Cricetulus griseus: one gene and its partners. The protein of the gene in region 4 interacts with the protein of the main gene of each other region in a pairwise test. Links are inferred from orthologs where the notes say so. Each region holds a gene or a part of one and is shown on either strand. Other genes may lie near its edges.

Region 1 (3,500 bases), on a different chromosome or scaffold from region 4:
ACTCTTCAGAAAAAGTGACATCCATAAAATTCACATATCATAAATCAGGAAAGGTGTGCTGCCAAACTTAGGAAAAAAGTCACTTCTCTAGGTGTTAAGTTGTTTGTTTGTTTGTTTACATGAAAGTAAAACATTCATTTTGAAAACTAAAGGGAAACCTTTCCATGGAATTGCTGACACATTTTAAAAATCATACTGAAACCTTCACAAGGATGTGACTACAGCTGACAACAGGCAATGAAATGGCCCAACACAAGTGCTTCCCTACAGAGGACAAAGAACAGTGGAGCCTAGTGGTGGGGGAACCAGCACAGAGTCACAGATAGCCTCTACTACCAGGGCCATCTCAGATACCCAAATGCCACTCTGCACACCTCAGATGCACTGCCGTCTGCCCTCTGCCACCAGCCCCTTCCCAACAGCCCCTTTTCCCTTATCACTGCCCATGCTTTGGAACTCTGCTGGCATCCAGAAACAGCCCTTGATGCAATCACTGCAACAGAGTCAGCCCTCTCTAGAAAAGGCAGGCAGGAAGGTGCAGGCTACTGTCAGTGAATACCTACACTCATTTCAGAACGTGAGTTTGAAGTCATGTTGGCTGAATGTGCCTTCATGAGTAAAACTGCATGGTGGAAATGTGTGAAAATAATAAAGGGTACTACTGATTGGGACCCAGTAAAACAAAACACCCTTTTCACCTTAAATTAAATATAAAAATAAATGTTAAGATTAGAACGTTTCCATACCGAAGATACAAACTCTTCTTGGTCATTCATACAGTCAGACAGGATGTCAGAAAAGTTGCCATCATTTATATCTAGCATTGAAGGCAAAGAGTGAGCATAGCATAGAAAGTTGGAAGGCAGAGACACGGTGGAGCTGTCAGGGCTGGTGTGAGGACTCATGGGGCTGGGGCCCCTGGCCATGGGTTCTATGCTATCCAACGTTTGTTCTCGAGGCGAGTGGTGACCTGTTTTGTACTGCTCAGTCTTTATTCCATCATGTCTGTGCTGGCCATGGGTTGGCCTGGATAGCAGATTAGAAAACAAAATAAATGAAAAATTGTAGCAAATTTTCTTTCCGATAAATGCTGAAAGAAGCATGCTCATCTGAACATTAAATAACAGGCTAGGTAGCAAGGTGCTGTCACTTAGAAACGAGCAGCCCATGTAAGGACAAGTGTTCCTCACTCATTCAAGCTCTGCTCTCATGCTTGCCCCATAGCAGAGGCCAAACAAGCTACCACAGTGATTCAGAGTGACCAGGCAGGACAGCCCCATGCCCAGAGAAGGCAGCCACATAATGTCACTGTGGGTGAGAGTGTCACCAAAGGCTTTTGATAGGAAAACACACTGAAGCCAGTGGCTTCTCATTGAATCTTTCTTACGGTAACAACCTGATATTAATTGACCAAAAATACAATGGACGCTTTTTATAATAAGCCAAGTTTTACTTCTTATGGAACAGGTGGGATAGAGGTGGTGGGAGGCAGCATGAAAACGCTCTGGGGAACAAATGGGGTTCACACCTATAAGCAGGGTGCACAGAACAAAAGCTGTAATGAAATGAAGGCCGAACCACCTGAGCCACTTGTGCACTCTGCAGTCAGAATTAAACCCAGAGCCTGTGATGACTGCACTTCTCAAAGCAGAGGAAATCACACGGCAGCACACACATGTCAAAGAGACTTTTAAGGAACTTTACTTAAACTCTGCGTTCTTGAACTCAGCTACTCTGCTGCGTGCTGGTTTAAAGATCCTGCCATCTTTTTTTGTACACACGTGAGTAGCATGCTCCAGCTGAGATTTGGTGTTCATCAGATCTTTCTGTAGTTGTTGATTTTCAGACACTAATTTATTTAATGCCTCAATATAATTCTCCTGAAGGTCTGTTAGTGAAATCTCTTTTGCCTAATAAAAAAAGAATACTAGAATCACTTGTATGTTTAAGGGTACTTATGATCAATCTGCAACGGTGTTGGCTGAAATAGTTCCTTTTCCAGTTTTATCTAATCTGTGGCTTTACCTAGAGAAAGTGAAGATTTGTCTTTAGCTGTGTTAAGATGAACACAAAGAAAGCATCAGTCTGCCTAGAGGGAAGGGAGGAGGAAATTGGGGGCAGGATGGCGTCCTCCTGTACTCGACATCAGGGGTAGAAACAGGGCAGAGGAAAGCTTCAAGAATCAGAGATAGGGGAGATCAAGAATATAATAGCCATGGCTCTTAAAGGAGAATGAGGGGCACCCTTTCCACCCCACCCCTACTCACACAGAATACCTGTGGAAGGAAATCAAAAGAACTGATTCAAAGAAAGTAATTTAAACACAAGACTCTAAAAAGAATTCTGCCCAAAGGGGTAGCTTTTAAATAAATACCCTCTCACCAAAAGCACTTTTTGGTACCTAGTTTTAAAAAGCTAGGCAACATAAAAGCAGGACTCAAGTATATAGCAGGAATTACTACTGTGATCTGGTCTAAGTTATATGATTACATATCTTATTTCTTGATAATACAGGTCTACTTTTTCTCATGAGAGATTTTAATTAGCATTCTATAAGATGATGGTGATCTTTACAGTTTAACATTTCATTTTCTGTAAAAAAAAAAAAAAAAAAAACTGTGAAAGCAAGCTGGTCGATAGTGATCTGATAAACATAATTTACCTGTCAAGTCACAAACATGTAAATGCACTTGTAAACTAGGAATTACAAGACCTTTCAGTAGTTGCCCATGGCTGACAACATCTCAGAGAGGAGTATTTGCAGGACATGCGGCTATACTGTCAACCACTACCCATCTTTGTATTTGTATACTACAAAGGGGCTACACTGTCCACTGCTACCTGTCTTTGTTTTTGCAGGGCATGGGCTGCACTGTCACCTGCTACCCATCTTTAAAGTAGCCAATATTCATGAAAACTGCTGCTTCATTAAAATAATTATAGATTAATTTGGAAAAGTAATCTCAGCTTCCTAGGTGATAACATGCAAAAAGCATTTCCTAATAGTTATGTTTTGACAATTTGTACAAGATATCCACACTATATGTAACTCTGGAACCACAGAAAGCTAAAACTGACAGGATTTTTACCACTTTGATGTCTTAAAAAAAATCATTAAACTAGCATTTCTCAACCGGTGGGCCATGATCTCCTTTGGCAAACCTCTAACTCTAAAAATATATTATGATTCCTAACAGTAGAAAAATTACAGTTGTGAAGTAGCAACAAATAATGTTATGGTTGGGGTCATTACAACATGACGAACTGTATTAAAGGGTCAAGGCATTGGAAAGGTTGAGAACCACTGCACATTCTTAAAAGATATATATAATACTGTCTTTCCCTGCATCTTTCTAGAATCTCCAAGACTTAGTGGTTTATTAACAACTACTCCAGGTACATAACTGGTAAAGGTAGCATAACAAATAGGTAGCAGGCATGTAGGCATGTACTTAGGGGAATAAAGAAAGATCAATGTTTCCACTAGGATTCAGGAGAAC
Region 2 (3,500 bases), about 18 Mb from region 4:
CTGAAGCAGAAATGTCTAGAGAGTTTAGTGCTAAATAATAGACAGCTGGTCAACAGTGTGTCTGCTGGTCACACTATCTCACATGCATGGTTTTCTTTTTCTGCATTTAAACTAAAATTTAATTGGCAGATGATCCAAAAATGGATCCCTAAAATTATCCCCAGGAGTATAAAGTTCTCGTATTACCAGTGCATGTCTCAATAGAATATCCTTTGTATCCCCATTGCACACTAGAGGAAGACACAGAATCAGAATACAAACCAGACTATAAAGTTTACTGTCACCCAGGGCAAGGGAAATTTAGCATCTAAGTGAGACATGCAGAATCACTCCATGATGTAAGTGCTAGAGCTCTAATCTGAAGGGGCTTCCTCTTCCTACACAAATGTGTCTGTCTGTCTCCCACAGGTAAGCACACTGGATTGGGGACGAGCAGAACGTGCCTATAACCTCTGTGAGGTGCTGTTTAAAGTTCACAAGGTGAGTATCCTTGGCATTTGGATGCCCCTTAGATGACAGAGTGGGAGGAGCAATATGCTCATTGAGGGATATTTGTTCCAGACCAGTTATTTTATCATCTTATTGATTGTTGAGATAGATGGATGGATGGATGGATGGATGGATGGATGGATGGATGGATGGATGGATGAATGCTGAATGATGAAGGGATGGATGTTTTTTGGGTGGAAAATGGATGGTGGTGGTAGTGTGTGTGTGTGTGTGTGTGTGTGTGTGTGTGTGTGTGTGTGTGTGTGTGTTAGTAGCCACATTCTTGAACATGCAGAGACAAGGAGGGTATGTTAGCTTTCTTCTTGTTTCTTCCACCTTATTCCCTTAAAACAGAGTCTTTCATTAAACCTGGAAGTAGGCCTATAGCAAGCTCCAGCAACCCTCCTCTCTCTGCCCTTAACTGCACTGGGGTTCCAAATATACAGGGTCATCCTGGATTTTCTACACATATGGGGGATTTGAACTCGGGTCCTCATGCATGTGCAGCAATCACTCTTACCTGCTAAGCCACCAACTCAGCCCTGTTGAGGAATCCTTTTGTAATCAAATTCAGATTTGTGGCCTAAAAGGAGTTCTTATTTAAGCATGGACTGGACAGGTCAGAACGATGAGTTAAGCAGTTCTAACCAATTAGAGGAAAGTATTCAAAGATAATGAAGGTGGGGGTGGTTATCCACAGTAGTCACATGAAGCTGTCAAAATTGGCAAGTGCATTGCACAGTTCCAGTGTAGCAGATCCACAGGCAGGAAGTAGGTTTCCCTTAATGGGAAGGTGTCATTGCTGATAAGGACCCAATGTAAGGGACATGGGCTTACCTGGGAAGAGTCTTTGTGAGCCCTTTGTTTCCACTGCTGTGGTGACATGCTGGGAATAATGAACAAGACTGTAAATGAGGTGCGCCACTGGACCCATAAGATGTCACTGAGATTTGGGATCTTGGTTTCAGAGGGAATTCTCTTAGTTATATTGTTGGAGGTTTTGTTTTATCTTTTGTTTGTTTGTTTTGTTTGTCTTTTGGTTTTTAAACTGGACTCTTATGTAGCTCAGGCTTGTCTCAAATTCAGTCTATACTTGAGGGTGGCCTTAGACTAACCCTCCTGCCTCTGTTAACCAAGAGCTGGCATGATGATGGCAGGCCCCTGCAGGAATGGGGGGAGAGGCTTTCTAGGTGTGCCACCACCACATCCCTCATGTCTCCTGTGATACGGACTGTAATTTCCAGCTCTTTAAGGCCAGGGAAGTGCACTGCAGGGATTCACAACCTTCTCTGTATTGTGGTCATCTGGAGGGAGCTTCGCCCAAGGCAAAGGATCTAATTCTGCATGCTGTGACATATGAGTCACACATCGAAGCTCTCTTTACATAAAGGTCCCTGGGAATGTTGCTGTGTGGCCAGATCTGTGAATTACCGCTCAGCATCTCATAGTCTGTTCTGAAGCATGTCTTTATAAATAAGCTACATTTTATTGTACCAATTATGTAGAGTTATTAGATACCAAGCTAGATGTATCTTGGTGATCAGAGTTTCCTGTCATCTTTGCACTGTGAGCAAGACAGTTTAAATACATAGCTGCTGTGCTGAATCTATTAATGAGGATGATAGTGGTCTTCATTTATACCTCTTAGCTCAGTATTCTAAGTACTGTCTCTCCCTTGCCCTGCTCGAGTTAATGTTTATTCATCCAGTTATGAACTCCTTCACTACAATTCATGGTTGAAAAAGAGAAAGAACAAGAGCACACTTTGTCTCTGAGCTAGAGACCTATCATTGACTAACAATTCACCTCCAAACTCAGGAGTTAAAACAGCAGCCACCATCCTACAGCTCTGGGCCTGAACTCCTCCTTAGAAATGCTAAACCCAGGCCCTCTGAGGAATCAGTGTAGGCCAAAAAAACTCCTGTGGGCTTTTCTCAGCTTGTTGGGTTTGTGCTAAACAAAAAAATCTCTACGTTTTTAACTTTAAAAGTAAAATATAGTAGTTATCAGTCTCTTAGGAGGAAAGGCTAAACTCCAATAATCAGAGTCTGGGCATAGCTTATGTACAATACTTTTGTGGGCCATTTCTATAGCTGTGTATGAGGAGGAGCCTATTAAAAAGCCTTCTCTCAGTGTTCCCTATTGCCTGCTTCCATACCCTTCATCTGGAAGTAGTAACAACTGGCAGCATCCAGGTCGCTGTAGCTAACCTTGACAGGAGGAAATCCCCAGAGGGTGTTGCTGCTTCTAAACAAGTACATCAGGAACACAGATGGAAGATGCAGCTGCCAGTTGTCTGGTGGGGACAGGACAGTCAGGTGAGTCTGTGGTGGACCATCAGGCTATATCTAGTGCATTATTTGTTTGTTTGTTTGTTTCAGCTATTGTTCCGAAATGTTGCTAAAGCACTTGTCCCATTTGGTGGTTGTGAGGAAGTGATGACCTCCACCAGACCAGGCAAATGCAACCCTCTTCCCAAATGGTGGACTGGGTTCTGTAGTCTGGGCTCAACTTTCCAATTCTGACCCATTTCCAATCCACACTTTTTTTCAGTTCTGGCTTTCGGACAACTACTGGCTACAGGCAAACTTTTATCTGGGTCTCCATGATTTTGACTGTGAAGACCCCAGGCCATACTGCTTTAGCGTCCTGGCCAGCCATGGGAAGAGCCACAACTTCAGCGTGGAGCTGGGCAGTGAGCTGGCTGTGTGGGAGAAGTCATTCCAAAGAGCAACTTTCATGGAAGTTCAGAGAACTGGGGTGAGTATGGTATGGGATTCATGCTTTTCTCACAACAGCTTTTAGGCAGCATTTGACACCTAGGGGATAGAGTATCAATGAAGGTTTATTTCAGGAAAGTGAATCGTGAGAGGTGAACGTTTTTCATCCGAGTCACCATGTCAAAGCAACCTTCCATCATGAGCAGGGCCTTCATTAATAAGCAGAGCTGTTTGTCATAGGGTCTTGCATCTAGTTCATATGTGCATTCATATTTATTGTGAGAAGAGAGC
Region 3 (2,983 bases), on a different chromosome or scaffold from region 4:
AAGTTGGATGGGTAGAGAGGTGGAAGAATTGGGAGGAGTTAGGAGAGGGTAAAACATTATCAAAATATATTGTATGAAAATGTTTTCAATTAAAGGAGTTTATAAGAAATACTTAAAATTCAGCCATGATAACAAAACTACATAAAAATATGCTTTAAAAAAAAAACTGGTTGTCTAGTGGTGCTTTAGGGGAGCTATTGCCAGGGAATGCCTCCTCTGGGAAAGGAAGTTAGTTTTCCTCAATGCACTAGTAAGTTATCTCCCCCAGATGCTGTTAAAGAAATAAAAATGAAAACAGTCAAACAACGTGCTTTCCTTTTGTTGTTTTTATTCCAATCTTCACTTGGTTGACATTCACAGAATGGTCTTAAGGTCCAAACTTTTCTAACTACTGAGGTAATATGAACCTCTTATTCTAGGGCTCTTTCTTGGTTGAAATAGAGGATCTACCCTAGGCTGATGACAGTTACTACTGAAGCTGGCTCTGCTTCTGATGGCTTTTACCGGAAGCTGCTATGGGTTCTCCTTTTCACCAGGAGAGTTTTTCTTCCAACGCGGGTGTTGCAGCGGTTATTCCGAGCCTTCTTTGTCAGACAAGCATCTGAGTTCCTGGAGATCTTTTCTTTCTTAGGATACGTGCCTTCCATTACCTTCGGGTTCTGCTTGTTACATTCCATCTTGTCTGCTTCCACGAACTTCTGATATTTCCTGTCCTGCAGATAGCATGGCCTCTCTTGCTGGGGTTCAGCTTCGTGGAGATGGAGCTCCCTGAGAATATCTACCCTTTGCTGTAGGATCTGACATTCGTTCTCCAGCAGGGCTGCGATCAAATGCAGCGAGTGCGTGTCATGGCTCAGCTTTTTTACCTGTGCCTCCAGCTCCTGTTTGGTTGACGGTTCGTTGTTGGCCTGGGTTTGGTAACAGATGTGATTGTTTTCAGAGGGTTCTCTCCTTTCTTTGTGGCTTTCCTGATACGACCTCATTAGATCACTGAGCTCGCGGTGTTGTATACTCCAGTGATCTGCTTCCTGCAGTAACTGCTCCATGTTGTTCCTGAGTCTTCTATATTCCCCATGAATGTGAAGGGATCCATACCGGCCTCTTTCTATGTTCAGATGCATGTCATCACAGCCTTTTTTCTCTTCTGAGTTGCATCGATCCCTTCTATGTGCTTGAATTGCGTTCTTAGCACTCTGGTTATGCAATATCATCTCCCGCCTCTTCTTCATGTTCTGTTCTTTCTCTAGTTGGAAATTAGTGAGCATATCTCTAAATCCCATTTTTTTTCTCCTATCAACACCTCTGATTTTAGGTTCTAACATATCCTCGGAAGTGCTGGCATCGTCAAAAGACTCCCTGACTTCTGTAGTCATCATCTCCTCATTGCCTGCTATACTTTTAAGAACATCTTTGACATCTTTTAAGAGATTGCTAAATTTCTGTACCAACCCTGTTCTTCCTAGTGGACGAATACTATCCTTTGGTGGTGGAAGGGAGCCCCAGCAGAAGGGGGGTAGTGATCCAATTTCAAGAAGGGAAATGGTGATCCCAGGATTTGCTGGTTCTGATAGTCCTTGCTTAATACAAGGAATAGAGTTAGGAGTTTGAGGTGAGGCAGGCATCTCAGATGAGCTGTCAGAACTGGCCATGAGGGCCCGAGGAAAGCAGAAAACCTTGGAGATTCCAGGAAGAACAGATGGCAGTCTCGTGTGAGTTGGTGGAGGAGATGGAACCAAGCAGGAGTTATGGACCAGAGTTAATGACTGAGACCAGGGAGGTGGTGTTCAGGTAGAAGGTGACATTTCAGACAGCCTAGGGGGAGGGGGTGGGAAGGGGGACCTGGAGCTTGGGCTCCATCTCCCTTCTGCTAGGCTTCTGGTATTGAGGACCTGGCAACTAGGTCTTTATTGTGTCATTGGCCCTCTAGGGCCTGTCCACACATTCTGTTTCTTTTGCATCACAATGGAAGTCTCCTAAATTCCTGACCACAGCTCAGACAACACAGCCAACCTTACTCAGAGATAAGACCTCTACAACACTCTTGCCCATCTCTTCTCTGCTAGGTGCTTCACCCTAAGGGCATTTCAGTATTTCCAACCTCACCCCCCACCCCCACCCTCACTATACCACTCTGTGGTATAGTGGCCAACCTAAACCACAGAGCCACCTAAGGGTATAGCTGAGAGAAACCTCATCAGGCCCTCACTCTGCCATGGAAGGGGGTGTTATTGCTCCTGCTACTATAAAAGAGTTAGGAATGCCTGGTGGTTTTGAATGGCCCCCATAGGCTCAAAGATTTGAATATTTTGTCACCAGGGAGTGGCACTATATGAATTAGGAGGTATGGTGTTGTTTGAGGAAGTGTGGCACCTAGGGTGGGCTTAGAAGTTTCAAAAAGCTCACTCCAAGTCCAGAGTCTCTCTCTTCCTGCTGCCTGCTGATCAGGGGGCAGAACTCTCAGCTACCATGTCTGCCCATGTGCTGCCATCCTTCCTGCCATGATGACAATGGACTGAACCTCTGAAACTGTAAGCAAGCCCCAATTAAATGCTGAACTTCCTACTCTTCCAGTCGGTGCTGTAAATTTGGTGATTTCTCTCAGTACCTGATTAAAACAACAATTTGTCTAAAATATTTGAAACAACTTGATCCAAAATGTTGCAGAAATGGAAAGCTCGCACTCAACCCTCATCCAACAAGCACCCTGAATAACCAGAATAGAATTATTCTGGAATAATAATTCCAGAAGCCAACATCAGCACAATGCTAGCATCTAAAGTAGTTAATAAAGTCAAGCCACTTAGTCATACTTAATAAAATCATCTGAGTCCTCCTGGGTTACCCAGTTCTTCTTCTGCTTCTGGATCACACTGTATTTCCTTGTCGTGTCTCCCTTCTTCCAGGACTTTCTTAATGGTGACCACAAATGTCTAATCAATTTCTAGGGTTACAAAATTTAGGTAAGAATGTCACAGAAGTGGAA
Region 4 (4,160 bases):
CCAAGTGGGTTTTTTTTTTTTATCTGAGTATCTTATAACCAAGTATGCATTATGAGCTACTTGAACTACTGAAGTCCAAGAGCTGCCAGGCACAGAGACTCCAACGCAAATGATACCCCTAAAACTGGACAGCATACAACCAGAAACCACAGCTCTAATGTATATGTAATTTGAAATAAGTAAAATGGGGTGGGCTGTCCTCAAAGATAGCATGAGTTAATCTTCTGGTGATACAAATGTATATATTTTGATTGGGATAGTTTACACAGTTATATATGGTTTTCCTTTGTTTTTGTTTTCTTTGCAGAGGGCTTTTGTTACTGTTTCCCTTTTGATTTTACTTTCTGTTGAAACAGTCTCCCCATGTAACCCTGGCTAGCCTTAAACTCACAGTGATCAGCTTGCCTCTGCCTCCAGAGACCGGGATTTAGACATGTGCCACCACACCCAACAATATGTATGGTTTTTTAAAACATCCAATTCAACATGTAAAATCTGCCCCTTTTATCATATGCTAACTATGTATCAAGAAGGAACAGTAGCGCACACCTGTAATCCCAGCACACATGGGCAGGAGGATAACTACAAGCTCAAAGTCAGTCAGGGCAACATAGAGAAGACCTCTATCTTAAAAACAAAATCACAAAAAAAGTTTGTTTTAACCATGCAGGGTGGTTCACTCAGGAGACTGAGGAGATGGCCACAAATTCAAGGTCAGCCTATATCCTTGGCTACAGTATATTGAGTACCAGGCCAGCTGGGTTCAGCAAGACACTGTTTCAAAAGGGAGGGGGCACTGATTTTGAAATAAGTGTAAATTAAGCATCTAGAAAATATTAGGAAAGCCTGAAACCAAGGTACCAAAAATTACAGAGCCACGTAGACACCCCAAAACAAAACTTACTATAAACTTAAAGGTTGCATGCTCACTAACATGAAATAAAAGTGTTGCTTCAAGGCTCACTATATATTCAACGCCAAATTTGTACTGATATTACTTTCATTAGATGAGGAACTAAGGCTCAGATATGTTAACACTGAAGACATGAAATAAATGGTAACTGGAAATCTCATGAACTCTAGTATTTTAACTCCAAGTAGAAATTCTGTCTTCCGGGAAAAATTATTGAACATCATGACACCGCCAGCACCACCTTGACTTCACAACCTCCTTCAGAGGCAGTTCCACTTATGTCTGATAAAAATCCTCAGAGAACTCATAAAAGGTCAAGTTTTAATTTGGCAAGCAAAGTAACCCAACAAGCACTGCAAGCCAGAGGAAGGGAACAGCAGCCTGGGGCTGGAGAGTCCAACACCCTGGAAGGTGGAGGACGGAACTCCTGCCCTTACAGGACTGACCAGACATTCTCTCACCTCAGCATTCTGTCACCTCAGAGCCCAGACCCAAGAGGCAGAATAGAAACTACAAGTGTTCGTAGCAAAAGCATACTCCATCCTCAAAAAAGCATAACAAAAACAAACAAAAAGCCAATGAGAGAAGGACCAGAACCGGATCTCAAGAGACCACCCAAAGAGCAAGCGCCTGGTACCCAACATGCAAGAACCACGTGGATGTAAAAGACTGGCCACAAGCCACCGGAGTCTGCCACCCAGGCCACTGTTTTAACCTACCCAGTGCCTAAAACCCTGGCTACCCGAGGCAAAAAGACGATCTGAGGCCCAAAGAAGTCCACCAACCACCCCTAACTCTAGAGAGGCAGACACTACTCCATATAAAATGTATCAAACCCCTGCTTCCTCCAACACTCATTCAGTGGACATCAATTCTAAGACTACTGGGATCCAGGCCACATCCTGAGGACTAAGCTTAACTCTAGTTGAGAAGGCAAGGTTCTCTTTAAATTTTCCTTTCCCTCTCTTTTAAATGTCACTAAGACCCTTCCAATCTCTTCTCAATAACTCCCACCAGCTTCCCTTGAGTAGCCTACTTTCTCCACAAACCAAGCAACTTAGGGATCTTTTTTCCCATGGTTTCCCATGGAAAAAAGACTAAAGAGGCTGAAATGACCAGGACAAGAGACGAGAAATTGAGCGCTTTACATTTTATATGCATACTTTCACGGCCCAACTGTCAGCACTTGAGCAGCAAATGATGGCTGGGAGTGACTGAGTCGTGACCCCGGGGCTGACCGCGCTTGTCTCCTGCTCCGTAGCTAATCAATAAACGCTTTGCAGAGAATGCTGGAAGGTCTCCCTGATTCCCCAAGGCCTGGCACGGGGAATGTAACCGTAAGCATTCGGCAGCCGCATCCTCCCGTCTCTTCTCGGGACACTATACCCATCAAGGGTGACCTGGGTGGACAGGTTCGTCTACCGGGAGACACCGAGGGGGCGATCTGGAATGAATTCCCTTCCCTCTGCCAGGGCCTGCCTGCCTCACCTGCCCTCTGCCAGGACCTGCCGCCTTCGCCCCCTTCAGCACCTAACCCGGAGCCTCCTCCCCGCAAGCCGGGCTCCCGCTGCATCAGCAGGCGCGCGCAGCCCGGCTCTGCGCCCCGCCGCCACCGTGCGCGCGGGTGGCCGGAGGACCCCCCCTTCCTCTCTCCCTCCCCGGCCCGGCGTGCCGTCTCCCAAGGGTCGCAGCTCCACGGCCGCGCGCTCCGCCACCCCGCAGGCTCCCTCCTCGCTCCTCCAGCCCGGGCGGAGGACTCCCCACCTGGCTCACTTCCCGGCCGGAGCTGAGGGGGCGTCGCGTGGCTCTCCGGCGGCCGCAGCCTCCTCCGGCCCGGCCCCCTCGACTTGAGGCGGCTGAAGCAGCTGCAGCGGCTGAGGCGACGGCGCCCACTCAGGCCCCGGAGCCGCCCCCACGGCGAACGTTCCCGGCGCCGGCTCGCGCCGCTTCCCCCGCCCGGCACGCGCAGCGAGCCCGCCCCCGGCGCGAGGGCGCGAGGCGCGAGGGCGAGGGCGGGTGCGCGCGGAGGGCCGGCGGGCGGGCGCGCGAGGGGCGGGGCTTCCGCCACGAGAGGGGGCGGGGAGGCGGCCGCGTGCCCTCCCGCGGGTTCGCGCGCCCCCTCCGGGCCTCTGCGGTGCGCGGGCGGCGGAGGCGGAGGCGCGCTTCCACTCCACAGGTAGCTGCCCGGCGGCTGGATGCTGCGCCGACGTGACTGCACCGTAAGGAATGCCAAGAAACACCCGGTGAATGATTCACCCGCGCCTCGAGCGCGGGCTCCTGCCCCGGGTGACTTTCCACATTGACTCAGCAGGCTCACTGAGCACTGACTCCGCGTCTGGTGCGCCGTGGACATGCTCTGGGTCACAGGCCCCTAGGCCCCAGGAGCGCGTAACTCAGGGGGAAGAGCAGCCTTGCGAGGACCGAGTCCGGTCACCTGCGAATAGCCAAGCCACAGCCGGATGCTGTGAGAGGATAAGGGGGAACAGATTACTTCCGCTTAGCTGCGCGGTAGTTCCTGAAAGTGGGAACGTTTCGACTTGCTAAAAACAGCTTGGGCAAAGGAGCAGGGGCCGGTCAGTTCATAGTACCATTTTTAAAAAGGATTGATGTTTTTATGTTATGTGTATAAGTGTTTGGCCTACAAGTATGTGTGTTCATCACACACGTGCGCCCCCCCCCCCCGGGAGACCAGCAGAGTGAATTGGATCCCCTGGAACTGTGAGCTGCCCTGTGGGTGCTGGAAAATCGAACCCAGGTCCTCTAATAACATCAAAGTGCTCTTTAACTGCTGAGCTATCTCTCCAGCCCCTTATATGTTTCTTGGTTGGTATTTTTTCCAAGATAAGGTTTTAGTGTAACAGCCCAATCAGTCCTGGAACTCTCTTTGGAGACCAGGCTGGCCTTGAACTTCGAGAGATCCACCTTCTGTCTCCTGGGCACTGGGATTAAAGGCATGCTCCAACATGCCTGACCTCATGGTCCCATTTTTTTTTAATAGAATCCTTTCCAAACTCTTTAGGAACAGCTAAGTCTTTTTTGTTGGTGGTGGTTTTTTGTTTTTGTTTTTCGAGACAGGGTTTCTCTGTATTGCTTTGGAGCCTATCCTGGCACTCGCTCTGTAGACCAGGCTGGCCTCAAACTCACAGAGATCCACCTGCCTCTGCCTCCTGAGTGCTGGGATTAAAGGCATGAGCCACCAACGCCCAGCAGCTAAGTCTTCTTTTAATGACTCAAAGGGTCATTTCTC
Region 5 (4,022 bases), on a different chromosome or scaffold from region 4:
TAAATGAGATCTGGTGCCCTCTTCTGATATGCAGGCAAATATGCAGACAGAATACTGTATATGTAATAAGTAAATAAATTTAAAAATAAAGAAAAAAGAAAAGAAAGCAAGGAACTCAGCCGGGCATTGGTGGCGCACGCCTTTAATCCCAGCACTCGGGAGGCAGAAGCAGGTGGATCTCTGTGAGTTCGAGGCCAGCTTGGTCTCCCGAGCGAGTGCCAGGATAGGCTCCAAAGCTACACAGAGAAACCCTGGGGGGGGTGGAGGGGGGGAAGGCAGGGAACTAAACAGGTAGAAGTTAATTTTTTGGATAAAGTAGACCCTCTCTTCATTCTCAAGAGGTTCATGGTTTACCTGGTTAATGTTGACATTTGAGATCTTTACCTTGGTGTAGCCCAATTTTGTTGCTTTCTAAATAGGGAAACTAAGACCCAGGAGTGGAGCATGAACATGTCCACAGGAAAAGAGCAGGTTGCCTTCACTTGCTTCCAAGGACAAGAGGCCTTGCCCAGGTGAGCAATCTGAACAGCTCAATGCTGTTACTCCACAGTCATGGCTTTGACTAAACTGGGGGATGTTCTGTTTTGAGAAGCAGATTCCTTTGAGTTCTGACAGAGCAGGCTAGCTCATGAAATGACAGGTCTTAACTCCCTCCCCTCACCAGTAGCTGCCCTCTCACCCAGACCCTTGGCTTTCTTCTTTTCTTGTGGCCTTCGGTGGTCTCGGTCTCCAACCTCATCACTTGCTCGGACCTCTTCTGAGCCTGGCTCCCCCTTGGAGGTTTCCTTCTCGCCATTGATGACTGGAATCCCTGGTTCAGGCTCCCCATTCCTTGCTGCATAGGTTCGGGACTTCTCTGCATCTTCCGGCTCAGTAGGCTCACCCTGTGCTCCCTCCTCGCCTGGGCCTCCCTGATTGTTGTCTACACAGTATGTACTCAGAATGTCTTCCAGCTGCCGGCTCAGCTCCTCAGACACATCACACAGGGGCCCAGACTTGGCTGCTTTAGCTTGAGCCCCTACAGCAACAAGATTAGGACACAGAATGAAAATAAGATGGTTACATCCCTGGCTTGAACTTTCTTTTTCTTTAACCCTAGACAAATACACTAGTTTGGGATAAATGTTGTTTTATTTGGTTGAGACACGATCTCTCTACAGAGCCCTGACTGTCCCGGAACTATGTAGACCAGGCTGCCCTCAAAGTCAGAGAGCTACCTGCCTCTGCCTCCCAAGAGCTAGGACTAAAAGAGAGGGCCACTACGCCGAGCCTCAGTTTAATTTTTTCAAACCTTAAGTTTACTTTGTTATAAAATGATACAATTATTATCACCCAAACATACTTCTTATGACCATAAAAGACAATTATGGCTGGGAAGTAATAGTGCTAGCCTTTGATCCCAGCACTTGGGAAGCAGAGGCAGGTGGATCTCTGTGAGTTCAAGTCCAGCCTGGTCTACAGAGTTCCAGGGCAGCCAGGGCTACACAGAGAAACCCTGTCTCAAAAACACAAAACCAAACAACCAAACAAAAAAGACAACTATGTAGATAAAGCACCACACCAGGGTTGGGTGGCATGTAGTAGAGACTCCACCTCTAATTCCTTTTTTTCCTACTCAAAACGCATTTTTGGTTATTTTTATAGTTCCAGAAATGTCTCAAGTATGAAGGACAATTACCCCCCCCCCACACACTGGCAAGTGTTTTCTGGGAACATGACTTTGTTTGTGGGGTGCCTCAGTTGTCATTTAATTTAAACCAGTCAGAGCATGCTCCCAAGGTTCCATTCCAGGGCTAAGGGAGGGAAGCTTCATCACCTGCCTGGGAAACACGAGACCCACACAGAATGGGTATTGTTTCATTCCATAGTTCCTCCTTCCTGGGTAAACACTGGCCTCAGCACCGAGGCCAGTCCCAGAAACTCCTCCCTCTGCCCACTGGAAAAGCAGAGCAGGCACACACCCTCGGTCTTCCCAGGAGCCTGGTTTGTGGAACCTTCAGCCTCCGCCGCAGGAGCTGTCTGTCTGGGCCGTCCCTGGGCTCCCTCTGGTGCCGCTTCCCGTTGCCCGGGGCTGCTCTTCGGGTTGGAGTGTTTGGCAGGCCCATTCTTTTTGTCTTGGTTCTTCATTGTGATCTGCAAAGGCAGAAAACGGGTAGATCCTTTGAAGACGACACAGTTGCTATTTTCAAGACTTCAAAAAATTTCACAACCTAGATCAGAAATCCCAACGCCAGGCGCTCCAAGCTTCAAACAAACTGGCCGGCCTTGGCGGAGACTCGAGGGTCCCTGCAGGGAGGGTGTCGGAGGAGCTGGCCCTGAGGAGAGTGAAGAAGAGGCCTCCTTTCTCCCGAAAGCCACTTCCCAGCAGCACCACTCCGCTCCCTCTCGGAACGCGAGCGCGGGATTGGCTCCCCGCCGCACGATGACGTGGCGGGACGCTCCAGCCCCCACCGGCCCCCGGCCCGGCCCCACGTGGGACCCCCGGGCGCGCGCGCCCGCCCGCCCGCCAGCCCGCGCGGAAGCCACCCACACCCCGCGCGCCCTCTAGCCCCACGGACGCATGCGCAAGGCGGCGACATCGCCACAGACCCCCGCACGGAATTAGTTATTCCTCTGCAGCCAACGCAAGCTGGGCCACAGACCCTCAGAAGAGCTCGTCCCACCTACCGCCAACAGACGTACCTCACCACGGACGTCCGATGGCGTCCCCCGCTCTGGCCGGGCACCGGAAACCCGGGTAACCGCTGCCAGCAGGACCGCCCGCTCCTGCCGCAGCCAATGAAGAGCTAACGCTGGCGCGGAGCTTGCTGGGAAAGACGAGGCCAAGGTGGCTTTGGAGTCGTGAGCGGGAACGAACTACGAGTCCCTTCATGCATTGCGGCGGGGCACAATTCCCGAGATGCCTCCCTTTTTAGGGTCTCTACCCGCTGCAGGTCTGAAATTCTGCAGTACAGTCTAGAGATTCCCGTCAGTATCCTTTCGAGTGCAGAAGCTGTGATTGGCGCTTGGCTGTTTGTTTCATACGCTTCTCCATTGATCCCTGTGGACGTGTATGACTGTTTCTAGGACCTCTGAGGACTCGAAGAGGGATAGAAGGCTGAGCTGGGAATTAGGAGACCTTTGTTCCACTCCTAAACCAGTAATTTGTCATGTGCCTGGCATTCTATCCCCCCCCCCATTCCAACAGAGGGGTTTTGTTTTTGTTTTGTTTTTGGAGACAGGGTTTCTCTGTGTAGCTTTGGAGCCTATCCTGGCACATCCTGGAGACCAGGCTGGCTTCGAACTCTCCTGCCTCTGCCTCCCAAGTGCTGGGATTAAAGACGTGCGCCACCAAAGCCCGGCGTCACTGTCTTCTCTTATTCTTTTTTTTTTTTTAAGATTTTATTTATTTATTATGTATACAACATTCTGCTTCCATGTATATCTACACATGAGAAGAGGGCACCAGATCTCATAGCAGATGGTTGTGAGCCACCATGTGGGTGCTGGGAATTGAACTCAGCACCTTTGGAAGAGCTCTTAACCTCTGAGCTATCTCTCTAGCCCCTGTCTTCTCTTCTTGTATCTAATAGCTTGGCCCTCATAATTACTCGGAGAAAGTACAGGATACTTTGTGATCTAGGAAATATAGGACAGTATGGAAAAGGCGAGATGGCTTTTTTAATTGCTTGCTGTCTGTTGGAGACAATGTTTCCTTATGTGTAGCCTTGGCTGACCTGGAGCTCCCTATGAGGATCAAACTGGTCTTGAACTAAAGACAAAGGCGACCATGCCCAGCTAAAGGTTATATAATCTAAGGCTGCATCAATATTGAGTGGTAATAGCAGATTCAAAGCCAGAAGCCTGACACCAGCACCCATCTTAACCACTTTCTTCCCAGAAGAAATAATCGCCGTCACAGGCTTTCTCTGAGGCAGTGTACTGGACACCTCTGTCATCACCAGCTTGGCAGTAGCTCTCTCAGGAAGGGATTGTAGCAGAGGGAGTTTGGCTTCCGGCAACTTGGTGAACTCCCACTCCAT
Region 6 (4,097 bases), on a different chromosome or scaffold from region 4:
CAGACAGCATCAGGACCCCTGCTGGTCAGTTCTTGAGTCAAATGTACAGCTGGGTCAGCACAAATCAACTATCACCAGTTCTAGTTATCATGTAAGAAGTGTCACCTGGGAGAGCACAACTGTAATAAATCCAGTGATTCCCACAATAGAGGACAACCTAAGCAATCAAAGTACAAACTCTACTTCAGGTGCTAAATTGAAAACAGATGATTCAAAATTCAAAATCCATTTCTAGGAAATTATTATTTGTGCTTTTACCGTGGGCTCAGAGTATAATTCAGGTAGAGTATATTTTTAACACGCACAAGACCCTAAACTCAATCCCCAACACCAAAAATAAGTACGTAAATAACATACCAATTTTGACACTTCTCTTTCAGCTAGAATTATAAAATTTAAGACAAATGCTGATTTTACACTTTTCCACTAGATCAATTCATGTATGCTTCCCTTTATGTGGCAATTATAATCTAACATAGTAGCATTAATCTTCCAAAGACAGACAAACCTGTTTCTTATTAGTCGGCTACAACTACAATCCTATCACTTTTCCATCCCCCAGTTTCTCTTCTGACAGACACTTTCCCACAATATGCTACATGAGGCAACAGAATTAGCACTTTTAGGTTTGCCTCTCCTAGCAGCTGTGAATCCCTGAAAATAAGCAAAACCTCCCTACCCACAATCCACTACAAAGTATAAATTAACTATACTTGACTTTTCCCTCAGTATCCAATAGGGATCAGTTCTAGAACACCCCCCACACCAACACCACAGCCCCATCCCAACATCTCTGGATACTCAAGTCCTTTACATAAAACTGCATATTTACATGTTATCCATAACACATCCTCCTCCATATTTTAAATCTACAGGTTACCTACAATACCTAATAAAATGTAAATGCCCATTAAGTGTTAACACTATCTTTTAGGGAAAGACAAGAAAAACGTCTCTTTGCATTTATACAGAGGGAGTATTTTCACTGATCAATTTATTGAATCACAAATGTAGGACCCTCCAACAAGAAGGGCTGACGATATATAGTACTAATATGGGTTTAATTCGCTCACAGATCAGCCTCTTGAACTACATTATAAACCCCTGAAGACTTTAGGAGTGTACCATCAACAGTTCTGGGCCAAAGAAGACTGGTGAAGCTAAGCAATAAAACCTTTTAACTCCTACACAGCTCTGTATTAGCAAGTATCTTAGGGTTTTGATTTGTTTTTAAATCAATCTGTAACCAAAGTCACACTTTCTTCCTACTGAACACACATTTTCAACTCCTTCTTTGAAGGGAAAAGGATTCCATTATGTCAGATTCATTCCCCAACACAAATGTTTGCAACAGTAGTAGAGTTCAGTACATGTGTAATCAATGAAAAACCTAATGACATTATCTCTGATTAACCATGTGGTCCCCAGAAAACTTATGAACCTATAAATTATAGAATTTTTAATATATACAATTCATACTAACTACTGAGAATGCTTTCCAATATAACTGGTTACGATAAGGGTATCTGCAGAGATGGGAGTAGGAACAAGAATGTTTAAAAAGGGCTAACAGCTTAACACCCTGCTTCCACTTTATCCAGAGAACATAAACGAGGCACAACCCAAAATTCCGTATATGCCCTACGGAAAACAAGAGATACTGGATTTGAAAATCATTAGTTAATTTTTAAAGCGTTGTTTTAACCCATAAGATTTTTAACATTCATCCATGACCAGCTGGTTCTCATCTCACCAATGTCTTTCCCCCACCTTCTCACCTTCCTACACACACCCACTATGAGTCCCGGTGCCAAAGCAATCATCATGGGAAAAAAACTAAGGTTCATTTTCGTAAATCTTTGTGAAAAATAGTCATAGTTCTTTTTCCCATAGGAAAATGACCTATTCTAACGGGGATTGGGGAGGAAAAGCAGCCCATCATCGGGCAGTTCCCCATTCTCTGTATTGAGAAAAATGCCATTAACTTGTAATAAGGGACGCCGTCCCACTGTGTCCCCTTTACAACCTTAAAAAAAAAAAATTAAACTTAAGGGTTAAGTATTTTTGTTTTGTCTTCAGGGGACATTCCCAGGAAGGGAAAACCGAAGCAATTCACTTTGCAGGAACTGGACCCCTTAAAAGCCCCTGGGAATTGGGCAGGAGGTAACATATCCCTCTATCACACACAACCCGGCCATCCGAGCAGCATTCCGTTATCTACAAAATGCCACTCGCCACCTCCTCCGCCGCCGCCCGGAACCCTGACAGGCGAAGAGTGCGGGGGCAAAGGGGCAGCGATGAGGAGGCGGGCCGCCACACACGCACGCACCGCACCGCGGACCCGCACGGGGCTTCTGGGGCGTTCCGCCGAGCCCGCTTCCTCCCGCCGCCGCCGCCGCCGCCGCCGCCCTCGCCCGTCCCCACCCCGGCGCGGCTCCCCGGGCCGAGCACCGCGCGGCCTCCTCAGGCGGCGGCGCCCCGCGCGCCCCGCACACTCCCGCGACCTGACGCGCTCAGCCGGGGGGACGCGACGCACCTGGATGTAGTTGTTCTCGCAGTAGTCGGCCACCCGCTCCAGATTCGTGTAGCTGTCGAAGAGGGCCCGGCGGCCCCCCGGGATTTCCTCTTCCAGCAGCATCTGCAGCTCCGCCATCTTCACATCCTCCTCCTCCTCCGCCTCCTCATACAGCCCGCAGAGGCAGCGGCCGCGACGCCTGAGAGAGGAGGAGCAGCGGCGAGCGCGGCGGGAATCGGGAGGAGCGAGCGGCACCCCCAGCGCGCGGCGGGGAGGGCGGGAGGGGGCGGGGGACGGAGGCGGGGGCGCGAGCCGGCGAGAGCCGCGAGGACGGTCACCGCGGCGACGGGCGGGCGGGCAGCGCGGGCACGCGCACGCGCGCTCCCCTCCCTCCCTCCGCCCCCGGGCTCCCGAAAAAGATTCCCACCCGCGCCGCCCCTCCCCCACTTCCGGCGTCTCCTAGCGACGGCAGGCGGGGGCCGGGATGCGCGCGGGAGCCGGGCTCCGGGTTAACCCTTCGGCCCCGCGCGGGCTTCCCGGCTCTGGAAGTCCCTCCGCTGCCTTTGTTAGCCCGGCGGGAATGCGCCGCCGCCGCCCCCATCCTTCACCTCGGTGCTATCCGCCCGAGGAAGCTCTCCAGGCCCCTCCGGAGGCCTAGGGAGGGCACGTTCACTCACACACCCTCTGTGAGAGGTCACACTTCATCAGGGCAGCCAGAGCCACTGAACTTCCAGGTAGCTCTAAATGCCACCTTGGACCTCATCCTCTCCTTTACAAAGTAAATTGCAGTCACCTAATCCCAAATCTGTTCATCATTCATTCATTCACTCATTCATTCATTCGTATTCCAGGTCTCCCTCTCTCCTATCTTTTTTGCAAAGTCTCCCCGAAGTAGACCAGGCTGGCTGAAATTACAAGTATATGTATGCTGTGGTTGCCCAGACTGGAGCTCCTCCTCTTTCTTGACTTTTTTTTCCCAAATTTTCGATGGTGGTTTTGCTGGTACTAATTTCATTATTCATATGGTTTGGGCATGAATAAAATTAAATGAGCGCACATTGAAAGATGTTTAATTAATACAATTCAAGGTAGTTCAACCTGATCTTGCTTGTAATCCAGATGTCAAATCTTTTTTCATAAATATGATTACCCCACATGGTGAAACTTGAAAAAAATAAAATAAAACTGGCATCTTCTGAGATATTGAGGTCACTTTTATTTGTTCTGTGGAAAACCCAAAGGGTACCATCTTAGAGGGTAGTTCAGGATTTGTGGCTTCAGCCTTTTATTGCTCTTGCGGTCACTGGCCCTTCTGCAATCAGTTTTCAGATGGATGAGGAAACAATTATACATTCCTTAAAAAAAAATAAAATGCATACCATCACACATTTGTGGAGTAAACCCTGTGTTGTTTCATTAGCTTTTGATAAATACTTTACCAATATGTGTGAACTTTTGTTCCAGAGCCCAAAACACTATTTTTAAATGTTGATGTGGTCCAGCTGGATCTATTCTTAACTGCTTTAGACACCTGTCTCAGTGTGAATGTTCTCCAAGTGTGTGAGAAGCTTAATTAAAAACA
Region 7 (3,500 bases), on a different chromosome or scaffold from region 4:
AGTGGGCAGTGGAAGCTTGGATAATCTTGGTCGTTTTAGATCAATGAGCTCCATCCCCGCCTACCCTGCTTCCTCGATTGCTGGCTCTTCTCCTCCAGGCAGTGGTCGGTCCACACCGAGAAGGGTCCCTCACAGTCCAGCCCGGGAGGTGGACAGGCTGGGTGTCATGACTCTGGTAAGTGGGCCTTTTCTACTTCAGCCTACTGGTGAAGGGTTACACATGGAAGTCACATCTTCATCCAAGAGGTTCCAGAAGGGGTGGAGACAGAGGCAGGTGATTTCTTTTGAGTCTAGCCTGGTCTACATAGTGAATCGGGTTAGCCAGGACTATATAGTGAAACCCTGTCTTTTTTTTTTTTTAAGTTAACTAGTATTTAGTCAACAATGCAAATTAATTATAATACTTAGATGACCAAACCAGCATGTTACACTTAATTATGGGGTGCTAGGCAGGGGTCTGGTGCAAGCCAGAAGGGGCTATGCTTCCTGTTTGAACAGAAATGACTGGAGAGGTGTTGTAGCATGTGGGAAGACATGCAGGGAGCCTGGGGTGGAGGCCAATGGTGGGATGAGCACTGCTTAGCCTGTGCCAGGCTTGGCTTCCATCTTCAGAAATTTAAAAAAAAAAAAAAAAAAAAAAAAAAAAGTATGAAGGAGTCCCTTAGCCCTCACAGCAGGGGTGTCTCTAAGCTCAGAGTCACAAGGGCCACTCAGGAGACCTGTGGATTACGAGCTGAAAGAGATGGGCATCTTGACTGGTTAGCTTGGGAGCACTTTTGTCTCAGAAATTCTATGCCCCAAGTGTGTGGATCTCAGAATTTCTAGTGACTGTTGAGGATTTAGCATGTGATTGATCCTAAGAGCCTACATACTAAACTTGGACTCAGTCTATATCCTAGCTACCCTGCCATGCTGCATCTCTTTTGCTGCTGCTTTCATTTGTAGTTTCCATGACGCTGGCAGTGGGCATGTAACTAATTCAGTGGAATCATTTTAATGAGCTGTTGAATAGTATAGTCTCTTGTATTTTGATGCACTGTGTAATACCTGTCATTAGTGCAGGGGGTAAGGTCCTAACTTTCATGGCATGGTCTGTGGCTTCATCCTCCTTCCAAACACTTTGTAGGAATAGCTGTGTGTTTTTCTCAGCTTAAGACTGACTTACTGCTGTCAGTCTACTTCTGCCTGATCCCCATCCCAGATCCCTGTCTGTCTGCCCATCTGACACCTTATGCTGTGACAGCCCCACCCCCCAAGCACCCAAGTGTACATCTGCAGTATGCTTGAGGAATGCATTGTTGTTGGCCGGTGGTGGCACATACCTTTAATCCCAGCATTTTGGAGGCAGAGGCAGGCACATCTCTGTGAATTCGAGGCCAGCCTGGTCTACAGATTGAGTTCCAGGACAGCCAAAGCTATGTAGAGAGGTCCTCTCTCAAACAAAAAAAAATGTAATTGTTGGCTCTTTTTCATGTTAAGAATGCATTCTCTGTTACTTGTGTTTCCTGCATGTGGACACAGGGAGGAAAGTCTGTGATTCTACAAGGGAGTGTCCTGTATGTCCAGGTGACCTACCTTGTGTGGTACTGATGGAAGCCCAGACACAGCCCCTTCTGGTTCTGGTGTCACTCGGCTTTCAGCTACCTGCTGACAGACTTGCTGTCTTTGATAAACTCTTACATTTAATACTGTGCACACTGTAAGGCCTAGAGGCTCTCCCTGTAACCCCACTAGGTTTTCTTGGAGCTTTTCACAGGAGCAGGGAGAGTTGCTCTTACTGCCTTAAACAATCAGCTTATTTTTGAAAAGTTTTAAATCAAATTCTAGGTAAGGATTTTAGGTTAATATCCAGTAGGTTGTTAACTCAAGGCTGGTTTGACTTTATAATAGATAATGTAACAGCTCCTGATGGAGTTCTTAAATTCCAGTGTGTTTACAACTAGCAACAGAGAGGCTGGTTTCGAGTGAGGGTCATTAGAGTCCTTTCTTACAAGGAATGCTGGGTTTTAATGCATTGCCTGTGTTGAAACTCAGTCTTAACTAAGTGTTGCCTCCTGGGAAATCTGCATACTTTTTAACTGTCTTGAGAATGTTTATTTCCAGTGTTGTTTCCTCTCAGTGTTCAACCTGTGCGTGTCCTGGCCCTGCTTATCAATTGTCTCACTGTTCCTTGAGTCTTTTCCCCAATGTGTACAGTAAACCTGCTCTCTCTCTCGTTTCTTCACATGCATCTGTCAGCCTAGTGACTTAAGGAAGCACCGGAGACAGGTAAATCACATGTTGACCCTTATACACTCTGTATCTCCATGAGTGACACAACTACTGTAATGTGATGAGAAGTAACTGATATTTCCCAGCAGTGTTTAGTTTGACCCTGCATGTCATGTTGATGGTCATGTGGGAAGCCTGTCCCTGAAATACTGGGGCAGAAGCATCTGTGTCTAATTATTGCATGCTTTTCTGTTGTTCAGAATTGAGAACAAGAGTTCCTGAGGCAGAGTTGCAGGGGTGCGCTCTGGGGAAGGCTGGGGCTGATGCACAGTGCACTCATCCCCATGCCCACCATGGGCCTACTGTGTGACCAAGGCATTGTCTTTTTATTTATTCTTAACAATTTTGTTTCTTTGAGACAAGGTCTTTCTCTATAGCTCAGACTGTCCTGGAACTTGCTGGATGGCCTAGGACAGCCTTGAACTCACACTAGTCCTCTTGCCTCAGCTTCCCAAGCACTGGAACCATTGTCTTAAACTCTTGCATGCATCCGTGTGGGATACAGGTCACCGCAGTTACTCCATTTATCAGTGTGGAAGCTGAAGCTTCTGTCTCATGGTGTTGGGTTACAGGTGTGTGTTCAGGCCTGCCTTAGTTCAAAAGCTGAGCTGGTGGTCACTTTTTTTTTTTCTTTTCTTTTCTTCCCCCAAGACAGGGTTTTTCTGTGGCTTTGGAGGCTGTCCTGGAACTAGCTCTTGTAGACCAGGCTGGTTTCGAACTCACTGAGATCCACCTACCTCTGCCTTTTCAGTGCTGGGATCAAAGGCATGCACTATCAACGCCTGGCTGCTGGTGGTCACTTTGCTCCTGGGCCTTTTACCAGCTGCCCTGATTCCCTGACAGTACCTAGAAATTGGTACAAGTGCAGCATGTTGGGCAGAGTTGGGAAGAGCTGGCAGTAGGTGTTTTGGTGGTTGACTTAGACATGCTACCTATTATCTTCCATGCTCCAGCCCAGGAGCCCTGCCCTGTCAACCTTCCTTGCTGGCTGCACTGGAGCAGTCATGGCTTCCATCCCCACCTGCCACTGATGAATTTGCCAATGAGTGTTGCCATGTTGGTGCTGTGGTTGGTTGCCTTCTCTTTTAAGTTAAAAAAAAAAAAAAAAGTGACTCACCTGTTCTGCTCAAACAGTGCTTATGCCATGCACAACAGGAAAGTCATGAGTTCCAGGACAGACTGGAATACAAAGTAGGACTTACCTCTCAATACTCAACCAAATGAACAGT

Evidence for each region.
Region 1: the proteins of Dtnb (region 4) and Cep63 interact in binary tests that used the Homo sapiens proteins (3 or more experiments, as listed by UniProt). The two-hybrid records come from large-scale screens. The link is inferred for Cricetulus griseus from reciprocal best matches to the Homo sapiens genes DTNB and CEP63.
Region 2: the proteins of Dtnb (region 4) and Sntg2 interact in binary tests that used the Homo sapiens proteins (3 or more experiments, as listed by UniProt). The link is inferred for Cricetulus griseus from reciprocal best matches to the Homo sapiens genes DTNB and SNTG2.
Region 3: the proteins of Dtnb (region 4) and Spz1 interact in binary tests that used the Homo sapiens proteins (3 or more experiments, as listed by UniProt). The two-hybrid records come from large-scale screens. The link is inferred for Cricetulus griseus from reciprocal best matches to the Homo sapiens genes DTNB and SPZ1.
Region 5: the proteins of Dtnb (region 4) and Txlna interact in binary tests that used the Homo sapiens proteins (3 or more experiments, as listed by UniProt). The two-hybrid records come from large-scale screens. The link is inferred for Cricetulus griseus from reciprocal best matches to the Homo sapiens genes DTNB and TXLNA.
Region 6: the proteins of Dtnb (region 4) and Abi2 interact in binary tests that used the Homo sapiens proteins (3 or more experiments, as listed by UniProt). The link is inferred for Cricetulus griseus from reciprocal best matches to the Homo sapiens genes DTNB and ABI2.
Region 7: the proteins of Dtnb (region 4) and Ppfia1 interact in binary tests that used the Homo sapiens proteins (3 or more experiments, as listed by UniProt). The link is inferred for Cricetulus griseus from reciprocal best matches to the Homo sapiens genes DTNB and PPFIA1.

Annotation. Positions count from the first base shown.
Region 1 is NC_048597.1:210,823,446-210,826,945, forward strand, and holds part of Cep63 (centrosomal protein of 63 kDa), read right to left. Parts: intron 1,911-3,500; coding exon 1,705-1,910; intron 1,027-1,704; coding exon 747-1,026; intron 1-746. UniProt on the Homo sapiens protein: Required for normal spindle assembly.
Region 2 is NC_048600.1:32,272,781-32,276,280, reverse strand, and holds part of Sntg2 (gamma-2-syntrophin), read left to right. Parts: intron 1-408; coding exon 409-480; intron 481-3,042; coding exon 3,043-3,249; intron 3,250-3,500. UniProt on the Homo sapiens protein: Adapter protein that binds to and probably organizes the subcellular localization of a variety of proteins. May link various receptors to the actin cytoskeleton and the dystrophin glycoprotein complex.
Region 3 is NC_048595.1:311,346,326-311,349,308, forward strand, and holds Spz1 (spermatogenic leucine zipper protein 1), read right to left. Parts: upstream 1,650-2,983; coding exon 501-1,649; downstream 1-500. UniProt on the Homo sapiens protein: Transcription factor that binds to the DNA sequence 5'-CANNTG-3'(E box) and the G-box motif. May play an important role in the regulation of cell proliferation and differentiation during spermatogenesis.
Region 4 is NC_048600.1:14,466,537-14,470,696, reverse strand, and holds the start of Dtnb (dystrobrevin beta), read right to left. Parts: upstream 2,801-4,160; 5' UTR 2,678-2,800; intron 1-2,677.
Region 5 is NC_048595.1:23,393,060-23,397,081, reverse strand, and holds the start of Txlna (alpha-taxilin), read right to left. Parts: upstream 2,801-4,022; 5' UTR 2,683-2,800; exon of another isoform or gene 2,668-2,682; intron 2,134-2,667; 5' UTR 2,128-2,133; coding exon 1,962-2,127; intron 1,019-1,961; coding exon 680-1,018; intron 1-679. UniProt on the Homo sapiens protein: May be involved in intracellular vesicle traffic and potentially in calcium-dependent exocytosis in neuroendocrine cells.
Region 6 is NC_048595.1:414,643,516-414,647,612, reverse strand, and holds the start of Abi2 (abl interactor 2), read right to left. Parts: upstream 2,801-4,097; 5' UTR 2,654-2,800; coding exon 2,537-2,653; intron 1-2,536. UniProt on the Homo sapiens protein: Regulator of actin cytoskeleton dynamics underlying cell motility and adhesion. Functions as a component of the WAVE complex, which activates actin nucleating machinery Arp2/3 to drive lamellipodia formation.
Region 7 is NC_048596.1:56,858,600-56,862,099, forward strand, and holds part of Ppfia1 (liprin-alpha-1), read left to right. Parts: coding exon 1-175; intron 176-3,500. UniProt on the Homo sapiens protein: May regulate the disassembly of focal adhesions. May localize receptor-like tyrosine phosphatases type 2A at specific sites on the plasma membrane, possibly regulating their interaction with the extracellular environment and their association with substrates.